Tamandua tetradactyla: one gene and its partners. The protein of the gene in region 2 interacts with the protein of the main gene of each other region in a pairwise test. Links are inferred from orthologs where the notes say so. Each region holds a gene or a part of one and is shown on either strand. Other genes may lie near its edges. The genes, in order: EXOC7, SSC5D and SEC23IP.

What was found.
Region 1: the proteins of SSC5D (region 2) and EXOC7 interact in binary tests that used the Homo sapiens proteins (3 or more experiments, as listed by UniProt). The two-hybrid records come from large-scale screens. The link is inferred for Tamandua tetradactyla from reciprocal best matches to the Homo sapiens genes SSC5D and EXOC7.
Region 3: the proteins of SSC5D (region 2) and SEC23IP interact in binary tests that used the Homo sapiens proteins (3 or more experiments, as listed by UniProt). The two-hybrid records come from large-scale screens. The link is inferred for Tamandua tetradactyla from reciprocal best matches to the Homo sapiens genes SSC5D and SEC23IP.

Annotation. Positions count from the first base shown.
Region 1 is NC_135332.1:16,546,982-16,550,726, forward strand, and holds the start of EXOC7 (exocyst complex component 7), read right to left. Parts: upstream 2,703-3,745; 5' UTR 2,551-2,702; coding exon 2,491-2,550; intron 2,267-2,490; coding exon 2,201-2,266; intron 1,141-2,200; coding exon 956-1,140; intron 774-955; coding exon 668-773; intron 1-667. UniProt on the Homo sapiens protein: Component of the exocyst complex involved in the docking of exocytic vesicles with fusion sites on the plasma membrane.
Region 2 is NC_135342.1:4,244,115-4,247,859, forward strand, and holds the start of SSC5D (soluble scavenger receptor cysteine-rich domain-containing protein SSC5D), read right to left. Parts: upstream 2,699-3,745; 5' UTR 2,622-2,698; coding exon 2,597-2,621; intron 2,080-2,596; coding exon 2,053-2,079; intron 1,807-2,052; coding exon 1,498-1,806; intron 1,303-1,497; coding exon 1,189-1,302; intron 975-1,188; coding exon 861-974; intron 524-860; coding exon 215-523; intron 1-214.
Region 3 is NC_135339.1:82,424,025-82,427,769, forward strand, and holds the start of SEC23IP (SEC23-interacting protein), read left to right. Parts: upstream 1-1,372; 5' UTR 1,373-1,462; coding exon 1,463-1,625; intron 1,626-3,745. UniProt on the Homo sapiens protein: Plays a role in the organization of endoplasmic reticulum exit sites. Specifically binds to phosphatidylinositol 3-phosphate (PI(3)P), phosphatidylinositol 4-phosphate (PI(4)P) and phosphatidylinositol 5-phosphate (PI(5)P).

The DNA of each region.
Region 1 (3,745 bases), on a different chromosome or scaffold from region 2:
AGGTGCCACACAAATATTCTCATTTCTGATGTATGCCATGATGGGGGAAAAGCCAGGAAGCACTGCTCTCAGCAAAAGTTTTTGGTCAGGAGAAAAGACAGTTTCTCATCTCTGTTCTTCAGCTCATGCCTTCTTTTGGGCAAGCCACACACCTCAGAGTGAGACCTGTAGTGTCACCAGAAAGGTACACCAGGAGACTGTGTTCCAGATGGCCCCTCCCCTAATACTCTTACTCTCTTGGCCCCACTCACCTTCTTGGGTCTCGGGGCCTCCTCTCCCACCTTTCCTCTGGTCTCCAGCCTCTCATTCTCTCAACACAGAGTAAATCTCACTTCTAACCCTTCTCCCACCCTGCTCTGGTGTCCTAATGACCCCAATACTTAGACGCAAAGACATCACACAAAATATAAACACAAAACCGCAAATGCATTTATAAAAACTAAATGTAAAATTTATATCATATATACTTTAAACAAATTACAAAAACAGAATAAAAATGTAAGCCTATAATTTCCGAGACAGAGATCTTAGTGTCTGGAGAATCTGAATTCTACTAGATGTTTTTGTTTATTATACTGTATACTCTTTTAAGCTGGCCAGGTATTTCCTTATGAGACCAGGGAGGGATGTTTCCCAGCCCTCTCCCTTTACTCTGCTGGCCCCTTACCACTTTGTTGAGCTCTGGGCTGTCCGGGCTGTTGTCCTGGAAATACTCCACAGCCTTCTGGATCTTGGCCATGCTTCCCAGGTACTCCTCCAGCCTACCTGTGGGGCTGGGAAGAAAAGGAGCCTGATCATGCTGGGGAGCAGTGGAGGGGAAGGATTAGGCCATGGTGTTTGGAAGAAGAAGAAGAGAATTAACACTAGACCTAAATACATCCTACCCCTCCCTTCTGAGGCCCAGAGCTGGTGGTCCAGGAGGCATTAGGGATGTGGCCCTCCGGCCCTGGCTCACCCCTCCCTGATGATCTTCTCGGTGTCACTGGCCACATGGTAGTAGCTGATGACATGATCTAGGCAGGACAGGGTCTTCTCCACATTCTCCTGCAGCCGCTGCAGATTCTCTGTCTGCTTGTGCACAGGGATGATGGAGTTCTCCAGCTTCATAAGGCGGCTCTCAAAGGATGACAGGATAGACACCTGTTGGGAGAAAGTCTCTGCTCTAGGGTGGTCCCAGTTCTGCTTCCTTCTCATCAGCAGGTCTTTGGCAATTCCTGCCTTTTCTCTTGTTTTCTAGACAATAAGCTCCAAGAAGGAGGGACAGGGCCTACCTGTTCACTCCTGCCTCCCCAACATCTAGCATAGGCCTGGCAATTAAGAGGTGGTCCCCCGCAAATTGGTCAGTTTGAAGGTAAGCTAAGTATCAAGTTAATTCCTAAGATAATCATTCCAGGATGACTTCTCTTCTACCCTTTGAAGCCAAATCTCAACTTCTGGTCTCTTTGAAGTTTTCCTAGACTGAACAGGAAGTTGTTTCATACAGAATAGCCTCAAAGCATTTGCTGGCACCTTCAAAATCCTGTCTCTAAAGGGGGAATCTCATTATGCAAGAAATAGGACTTCATCACTGTGTTACCGAATGCAAATCCGTTTGTTTCTATTCAACTTCTACCCGAACGATCTCAGCTAGGAGTAAACAAGGAAGCGAATATTTATTGAGCACAATTGTATACCAGGCACTGTGCAAGATGCATCCATTCATATGACCTTCGCAGTCACGTTGAGAGGTTGACATTGTCACTGTTTTAGTACACAAGTCAACTACAGCTCAGAGTCAACTGCCTGGAATCACACAACTGTGTGGAGTAAGCGCTCCTTCTACCCCTAAAGTCCTCTGGGGGTGAAGGCTGAGTCTTCTATGCTCTCAGTAATTTCAAATCTCAAAGTAATCTCAAAATGCCACCCCTACCGGGACAGTCTTGAGTTAAGAATGACCCAGGACCAGGACTACTCAGTCTCACTAAATGTGGCAAGAGAAAAGGAAGAATGGAGAGCCTAGACAGAAAGCAGAAAGTTCAAGTCAGCGGGGGCTGCCGGGTCCTCAGAGATGGGGCGGAAATTGGAGGAGGGGCGGGAGGTAAGAGACACCATATCGTTGCTAGAGAAACCCATCACTATCCACTCCAAACCAGGCCCTCGGTACCCGGCACCTCCCGTAGCAAGGCTCCCCTCCGCCCCTCCCGGCTGAACACTTTCTCACCATGTTCTTGGTGAGCTGGTCGCTCTTCTCCAGGCTGTCTCTGATGAAGGACAGCGTCTCCTCCTCCTACGGGGAGCGGAGGGAAGGACATCACCAGAGGCCGGAGGCTAAGGGAGATTCCTGCGTGCTAAGGGAGATTACTGCGTCCTCGGACCCCCAGCCTCGCCCCTCATCTGAAACCCATCTCCTCACACCCCCTCCCACCCGCGCCTCCTCCCGGCGTAGGGGCCCGGCCCGGATCTCGGCCCCTTTCCCTCCACCTCCTCCCCCGATTCCCCACCATCGCCCACCTGCTTCAGTTTGTCCTCGATCTCCCGCCGCCGAGCGGACGCCTCCTGCGGGGGGATCATCGCTCCCAACCCTGCGGCTCCCGGCTCCTCAGTATCTTTCCCAACAGTCCCACGGGGGTCGCGTCCCTGCCACACCCACTTCCGTCTTTAGTCCCGCCCCGGCACCGCGCCGGTGCTGCCATGTTGGGAGAGGCTGGTGGCAATGCGCCTGCGCGAGGCTCAGTAACGGGCCAAGGCGAGCGGCCATCTTGGGTGTGTCTGGGAAGGGTGGCGTTCCTCCAGCGCAGCCCTTTCCCCCTGGTGTGGGTTCCCTCCCCCTGCGGAGAAGGTACTCGACCGATGTCATTCTGCCCGTGGCTGCAGGGCGGTCTCGGCTTGTTTACCGGTTGGAAGACTGACTTTTTTTTTTTTTTTTTTTTTGCATGGGCAGGCACCAGGAATCGAACCCAGGTCTCCAGCATGGCAGGCGAGAACTCCGCCACTGTGCCATTTGACAAATGGCCGCTGGGTCCATGCTCCAGCACTGAGTGCATACGGAGTGCACCACAAGACAGGCGCCCAATATGTGCCCGTTTAGCGAAACCGGGGCTGGTGTGTGCGGCCCTCCGTTAAGGATAAAGCATATGGAGCAGGCCCTGTGTGCAGGACCCAGGCCCGGGGCCGGACAGGACACTTGCCCTTGGTCCTAGGAGGGTGCCCAACCATAGCTGGCCTTGTGCCGGGGTCAGCCGAGTACACGGGGCTGGCAGGATTCTCAGAGCATCTCTCTTGGGGCCCCGGTGCCTGTCCTCCAGGCCCCACGTGTGGGGAGAGAGAGCTGTGAGGTTTTATTTTGGGGGGGCTGAGTGGCTTCTGCTGAGAACTTACCTCGGCCAGGAGAGGCCACAGGAGGAAGGGGGGCAGGACCGGAAGCTGTCAGGGATTCAGGCCTCAGCACATCATGGCCAGCTAGAAAGAGACTGAGCCTTGCCTGCAGGTGTTGGGATAGGCAGTGAGCATGTCTCAAGGGGCTTTGGGGAAATCAGATGGGCTTAGGGGCTGGCATGACTGTTCTCCAGGTGGTCCCAGTTGGTCTAACCTCAGCTCCAGGGGCGAGGGTCAAGAGATGCCCTTGGAGGGAGTCTCCTGGGTGTTCTGGGTTCCCAAGGATTTTCGGCAGGACCCAGCTCTTCTGCTCACTTAGTGCCCGTCCTTCCTCTGTCACTTCCCTGCCCATCTAACTCTGGCCTCAGCCCTTCGAGAAATAAATGGATCC
Region 2 (3,745 bases):
CTCGGGGTCACTGGCCAAGGCCATGGGACGGGGCCAAGAGCTGAGCCCAATTCCAAAACCCTTGCTCCCTCCAGGAGGCTGTCGGTAACTGCAGGGAAGTCGGGGGGGCTGGAGCGCTCCCTAGGAGGGGTGTGATGATTCTGAGCTGGGACCCAAGCCCTTGGGAAGGCGGGAGGACAGCCTCAGGTATGCCCGTGGCCCCCGCCCCACGTACCCGTGCAGACCAGCCCTGCGTCCTCGCTGTGGTCACAGTTGCTCCGACCCCAGGGACTCCGGGGACAGTCACGTAGGGCCTGCTCTCCTCCGCCGCACCCCACGTCATCCATCCACACGGGCCCTGAGCCGTAGCCAAACCGGGCACCGCCCGGGGCGGCCAGCGCCCCCCCGCAGCCCAGCTCCCGGCAGGCCACGGTGGCATCGCGCAGGTCCCAGCCATCGTCACACACCGTCCCCCAGCGCCCCGCGTGCCACACCTCCAGCCGCCCGGCGCAGCCGTGGGGACCCGAGACCAGGCGCAGCCGCTCTAGGGGGGACAGGGAGGGGACGAGGTGCCTCATCTGCGCACAGCATGGGACACGCAGGTTCAAGCCCTTCACCTGGGGAAACTGAGGCCTGAGCTGAATGGGGGCTCCTGTTAGGGGGAGGGAGCAGCGACTGGGTGGGGCAGGACACCCGGGTCCCGGGACAGGCAGAGGGTGGGGGTGAGTGAGTGGGAGACGGCGCCTGACTCCCTGAACCCCCGGGGTGCGGGCAGGGGCATCCCGGGAAGCAGACTGAGAAGAGGGGGCCCTGCTCCCCTTGGTCTGGGCTCTGGGCCTAGGATGCGTGCACCCAGCATCGCGTGGGGGTGGGGGCCTCACCGTGACGGGGGGCCCCGGTCACCAGCGAAGGGGCGCGGGTGGACTTGGCCTGCTTGGGGGGCCGGGGGCTCTTCTTCCGCAGGCCACTCTGGGGATCCCCGGCCGGCCGGGGCGCTGGGAGAGAGACAGCCATGAGGGGGGTGCCGGGCGGCTGCTCTCCCGTCCCCCGGAATGGCGGTGCTGGCCAGGCTCCAGGTGGCAGCAGACGGTCCCAGTGGCCTTGCCCAAGGACTACCCCCCCCCCCCCGCAGTTTGGATGGGGAACCCAGGGACCCCAAGTTCAAAGGGGGGAGAGAGCTGGGGGTGCCACGGGCTGCCTCATCCTCACCGTGAGTCTCAGGGGGCACCTCAGACACCAGATTGAAACCCCCAGAGGGCCCGGGCCAGGGGTCCCCTGCCAAGAGGGAAGTGGAGTCGTCCCTGGAGCCGGCCACACGCTGCCCTGTGGGGCACAAGAGAAGCCCTGAAGGCGCGGGGTGGGGGGTAGGAGGTCACTGGGGTCCTGGGGAGAGGGATAGGGCTGGACCCGCGTGTCTGGGTCCTCGAGGGCTCAGGAGCCCCTGTAAGCTGGGGGTCCCTGAGCCCCAGGAGGGCCCGGCACTGAGGGGTGGCCTCCCGGCCCCTGCGAGCCCCTCACCTGCGCACACGACGCCCGCGTCCTCCTCGTGGGAGCAGATGTGTGCCTTCCAGCCGCGGTGCGGGCACAGGCCCAGTCGCGCCTCGCTGCCCCGGCAGGCCAGCTCGCTCAGCCACACGGGACCCTCGCCCTCCCCGAAGAAGGCGCCCCCGGGGGCGGCCAGCGCCCCCCCGCAGCCCAGCTCCCGGCAGGCCACGGCAGCATCGCGCAGGTCCCAGGCATCGTCGCACACCGAGCCCCAGCGCCCCGCGTGCCACACCTCCAGGCGCCCCGCACAGCCGTGGGGGCCGTCGGCCAGGCGCAGCCGCTCTGCAGGGGGACGGAGGAGAGGCTCGGACCCCAGGAGGGCCCCCACCCCGGCCCTGGGGCTGCACTGGTCACAAGTGGATGCAAACTCAGGGGATGATTGGGAGGGCAGTGCTGAGGGGCCCCGGCTCCCGTAGCAGGCTAGAGGCAGGGCCCCTGGGCTCCAGGCGGAGGACGCAGGGGTCAGAGCACCAGCCCTTGGGCTCTGGGGACATGGGGTGGCACAGGGGGAGGGGCTCGGAAACTCACCGACAGCCTGGATCCCCATCAGAGCGGCTGGAAGGGAGGGTGGGTGGGCCCGAGTGAGGGGTGCCTCCAGGGGTCCCTGTCTCCAGGACAGGTCCCTTGCCCTGCATGCCCTGGCACGCACGCGTGCACACACACGTGCACACCCAGTTCCCACGCTTCTTAACCAGAAACCCGCTGCCGGGAAGCAGGACTCTGGGCAGAGGCGGACGGGGTTGGGGGTCGGGCAGGGGTTGCATGCAGGCCCTGAGATGGGTGGGGCTTGAGGTCCTTTGTGTTCCCCTATGGGGACAGCTGAAGATCAGACACTGGGTGACCCCTGCACAGGGTCAGGGTGGGGGAAGAGGAAAGGGGCATGTCGCTTGGGACCCTGAGAGGGTGGGGCTGGGACTGCGCTCGGGTGGTGGGCAGGGAGGACGGGCTGTCCTCATGTCCCCAAGCACCAAGGGCTGGGGTCGCAGAAGCCTGAACCTCTAAAGTTGATGAGCCAAGGGGTCGGAGGGCTGGGGTCCGGGCCCCTGAGTCCTCAGGGAGAACGGTCACTCACCGACGAGGCAGGCCAAGACCCTCATGCTTGCAGACAGAGTCCAGGGCGGGGACGGGGTGAAAGGGGGAGAGCACGGGCGAGAGAGGCGGCAGCGGTCACAGGGAGGGAAGCGCCTGGACTGGGGAGGGGCAGGCAGGGCCTGGACGCGCTGCCAGGAGGAGAGAGAGGCTGCCGAGGAGGCAAGGAGGCAGCAGCGGGGGCTGAGGCAGGGAAGAGGGGGGGGTAGCAGCGGACGGGAGGGTGTCCAAGCCAGGGCCAGGCTCTGGATGTCGGGGGCGGCGGACTGCAGGGAACGGACAGGACAGGGGTGGAAGTGGAGGCGGCACAGAGACCCTCCTCCTGCCCCCTCTCCTGTCCAGCCAGGGAGGAGTGGGCTGACCACGGTAGCGGGGGGGTCAAGTTCTGACTCAAATTAACCACTGGGGCTGGGGGCTGGGTTCATGTGGGGCTCCTGGTACAGTGAGAGGGCTTACAGCCAGACAGCAGGAAGGACTTCCGGATTAGGAAAGGAGACAGAACCACTCTACCCCCCCAGTCAATCTGACTGCAAAGCCCTCCCTCCGTCTGAGTGGTCCCAGAGGATGAGAAAAATGGGAGGGGGCGGGAGGGCTGAGAGTTAAGACTTGGATGGGGGAGCAGCACCCTCCACTCTCTAGCTCTCACTCATATACTCAGACCCGCTCTCTGCACCAGCAGCTGTGAGGCGGAAAAAATTCGGTAATGGGGCTTGTGAGTCAGAAGGGCGGACCGAGGCTGCTGTGAGCTCATCACCCCCTTCTCCCAGGCCCTCCCTCCCACACCAATTAATGTCAACTTGGGGAAGGGAGGAGCCAGACGGAGGGGGGATGGGGGGATCAGAGAGAGACTGGAAAAGGCATCAAAGAGAGGGACAGACGCACAGCAATCTCAGGCTTTATTAACAAATGCCTTAAAAACCAGATGGGTCTGGAGGAACGGGGGCGGGCGGGGGCTCCTGGCCCTCTCAGCTCTCCAGCTCCTCTGCCCAGGGGCCCGCAGCAGCCCTGCACCCACCTCTCGGCCCCAGAGCCCCACTTCCCAGTGCATGCCCTCTACTGGCAGCCCCAGCCCATTCCCAGGAAGGCCTTCAAGACCTAACTCTTGGGAGCCCTCTTTGCTCGGCGTCCTGCT
Region 3 (3,745 bases), on a different chromosome or scaffold from region 2:
CAATGTCCTGGTTCATAGGCTGAATGAGGTGTTCTTAGACAAGTATTCCAAACACATCTGGGCCCGATGCTGTACAGGCTGTTGTGTGTCTCAAAGCAGACATATCTCAGACTTTGGTCCCTCACCCTGTTCCTGCTTGAGGTCCTCAAACAGGCTGCACACCTTTTTCCAGATGAGCAAAACACTTACGGACATATTCCACTGGTTCTGATCTTCTACCCACAGGCTCAGCATCTGCTCCATCACCAGGCAGCACTGCAGGTCAATGTGGCGACCTGTGAAGCTTGCCCATATTTTCTCCTTGTCCCAGATTGTGGTCACAGTGGAGGTGGACAGACCTAGAGCCTTCGTGATTTGGCTGAGCTTCTCACCGGCTCCAAAGAACCACAGCACTTACGGGCACTTAGAGGACTCCTGAGAGGCATCTTCAGGCCTGAGTTGGGGGAGACGGAGGCTCTGTCTTTGCCACTCTTTCTGCCTGTAGGTCTTCAGCCTCCTGGCAGCAAGGGTTGGCAGTGCTGTGAGCACTGGGCCTCCTGGACACTGTCTACCACATCTCTGAGTCCCGAGACGGGCTTCCACCCACAATGCCAAATCAAGGGTGGAGAAAATTATGGAACAAATCTCAAAAGCATATTTGTGTTCCTGCCCCTTGCCCACATTACGGCACCTACTGCCCCGCCCTGACCCATTGTAAAATGGGGAAACAACGTTTACTGGTGGGAAATACCAGCAAGCTTTAGTAAAACCTGTTAAAGATTTAAAAAAAAAAAAAAAAAGTCACATCCCTAAATTTCAATTATCTGGCTTTTGTTTTTAGATAACTTTTCTCCCTATGGCTTGAAAGTATAATTTTTTAAAACCATTTTTATTTATGGACTAAGGGCAAAGTTCAGTTCAGCCTAGAAGGCACCTGGGCAGGTTAGATGTGAGAGCGAAAAGGGCGTGTTTGGCTTGGCTTTGGTTGCGAACTGCCCGCACAACATTTTCCTGCCTCTCTCACTATCCACCGTCAGAGGGCTGACAGCAATTTGCCACCGGCTCCCGCGGGCATCCGCTGTTCCTCCAAAATCTTTCCCAAACAGCCCCCTCTGTACTTTAAGGAAGCCCAAAGTCTCCCCCGCTATCATGACTTACCACTCGCGCACTGTTTTAGTATCAGCAATGCTCACCCTCCCACTTTCCTACCCCAACTAGGGCCCACGGATTCCAGTCATCCCTGGCTAGCCGCTTAAGTCGTCCTCACGTGCAAAGACTCGGGCGTGGAACCGGAGCCTTCAGAACAAGCAAGTGTCGCCATGTTGATTTCTGGCGGGGGGGAGGATGTCAGCTGACCTGCCGCTAGTTGTTCCGGCCCTTGTGCGCAAGTGCGGAAATGTGCTGGCCCCTAGGGTGACCGGTTTCCGGCCGATGATGTTTCACCGGCTACCCGGAGACGTGTAACGGACGGTGGGCCGCAGCCATGGCCGAGAGGAAACCTAACGGCGGCGGTGGCGTCGCCTCCACCTCCTCATCGGGCACTAACTTACTCTTCTCTTCCTCGGCTACGGAGTTCAGCTTCAATGTGCCCTTCATCCCTGTCACCCAACCTGCCGCTGCCCCGGCCTCCCTGCTCTTGCCAGGAGGTAGTAAGGGGAGGGGATTCCGAGTTTATGCGGGGAAGCGAGCACGGGGCGTGGGGGTGACGAGGGCCAGACAGGCGGTCTTCTTTCTGATTTCTTTCTGACTCTAGGTAGCTTGCCAGGAGCATCAGTGGCCAGATTTGAGTGGATTGTTGGCTTTGGAATCTTGGAGGCGGGGGCCAGGTCCTGAGGTTTTCTCTTGATCTAATGAACCTCTGTTCCGAGTTGGCCAAAGTGCCGGATACTCGTGCATTGGCATTCCACAAATCTTTGTTATCACTTAACAGTGTGTCAGGCGCGATGCTGCTAGGTGTTAGCAGGGAATGCAGATAAATCAGACAGTGCCACTCGCCTAGGAGTTCACAGCCTAGAAGGGATACAGACACGTAATGTCTACAAAGTAGTGCTAAAGAATGAATTACTTATCTTCAAAACAGTGCATAACTTCCTATAAGAAACTTGTTCTATTAGGCCCCCACTCATATGTGCTCCCCTAGTTTTTTGTTCATATCTTTATTATTGTCTAGGGAGATTGCTTTATTTTTATTTATTTATTTATTTGTTTTATGGGGAAATTGTTTTTTAATGATTAGGTGGCATAACCATAGTATAATGTTTAGGACTTTGTCTGGGTTCCAGTCCTCAGGGATAACTTACCCTACTCAGGCATACTACTTTACATGTACATCCTCATAGCGTTATAATGAGAGGTGAATTTTTGTAAATCACTGAGAATAGTGCCTGTCACATAGTGTTATATAAGTGTGAAATAAACGTCTCATTTGGAATGTGGGCTTTTTGAAGTTTGCAGCTATGACTTGATTACCTTTTAATTTCCAGTATCTTGTTTGGTACCTACCATGTTGATACTCAGTAAATGCTGAGTCTACCAGTGAATTTATACTTGCTTGGAGGACTAGTGAAAGTTTCATGGAGAAATGAACAGAGGCATACTGGGGACAGCTATACACGAAGATTTCCCTTACCTTGCATTACGTTTCTTTAGTGCTTATCACCACCTAAGTGTATTTATTTGTTTATCTTATTACACTGGAATGTAAGCTCCATGAGGTCAGGGATTGAATTGTGTTCACTGTTATATCTCCAGTGCTCAGAGAGGTGATTGGCATGCAGTGACCAGTTACTTAATAAATATTGTTGATTGAATGAAAAGAATATAGTCAAGAATATGTATGTCACACTTTTATTATGTGATTGAAAGGTCAGGCATTGCCATCTTTGGTGAAGGACCAGATGGCTGGGGGAGGATGCAGGAATACATTAGGCCAAGCCTGGGGTTTTCATATCATTCTGCTTCACACATGTTGCCTTAGTTCATGGCCATCTTTGCTTGAGCTCTCCCTCTTCCATGTGCTCTCTCACTTGTGCTTTCTGGTATTCCGTTTGTGCTTGTCACTATCAGTACTGAACATTTTCATTTTCAAGTACTTGAACAGCTAGTATTAAAACTCTTGTTTCTTGCAGACAGAGTTTATTTTTTGGGAGTAAATTAAAAGTTTTTAGAACCACAATTCCAAATGAAGTATTTTTCTACCTCTAAGAAAGATTTCATAGTTAGAAACCCATTTAGAGAATTGCCAGAGACAAGAGAAGAACCTGTATCGTTGGAAGCAAGTTAATTCTATCAGTGAAATAGACTTGTAGGAGGCAATTTCATTCATTCATCAAGATGGATTAAATAGCTTCTATTTACTGGACCCTATGCAACATGTCAGGGACACAAAGAAGAGCAGATAGTCCTGCCCTCAATGACTGCACAGTAAATAAGTATATGTATATACCCAGCTGTGCAAACAATTGTGATACAAGTTTATAATGGGTAGAAAAGCCAGCCTGCTTTAAGTTACTGGTCTCAGGCTAGCTGACCAGGGAAAGGATGTCTTTTAGGCCTTCAGGACCTCACAGAGGAAGTGATGCTTGAACTGAGTATTGTAGGATACATAGAAATTAGGGGTCTGGAGAGACAGGCATATATAAAAGTCATGAGGTATGAGAAAACCAGCAGAATTGGTGAGAGTTGGTGGTGGGTGTCATGGGATGCTCTCTGTCTCTGTCTCCAAGTAGATCAGTGTGACTAGAGTGTGTACAGGGGTGTGACTTGA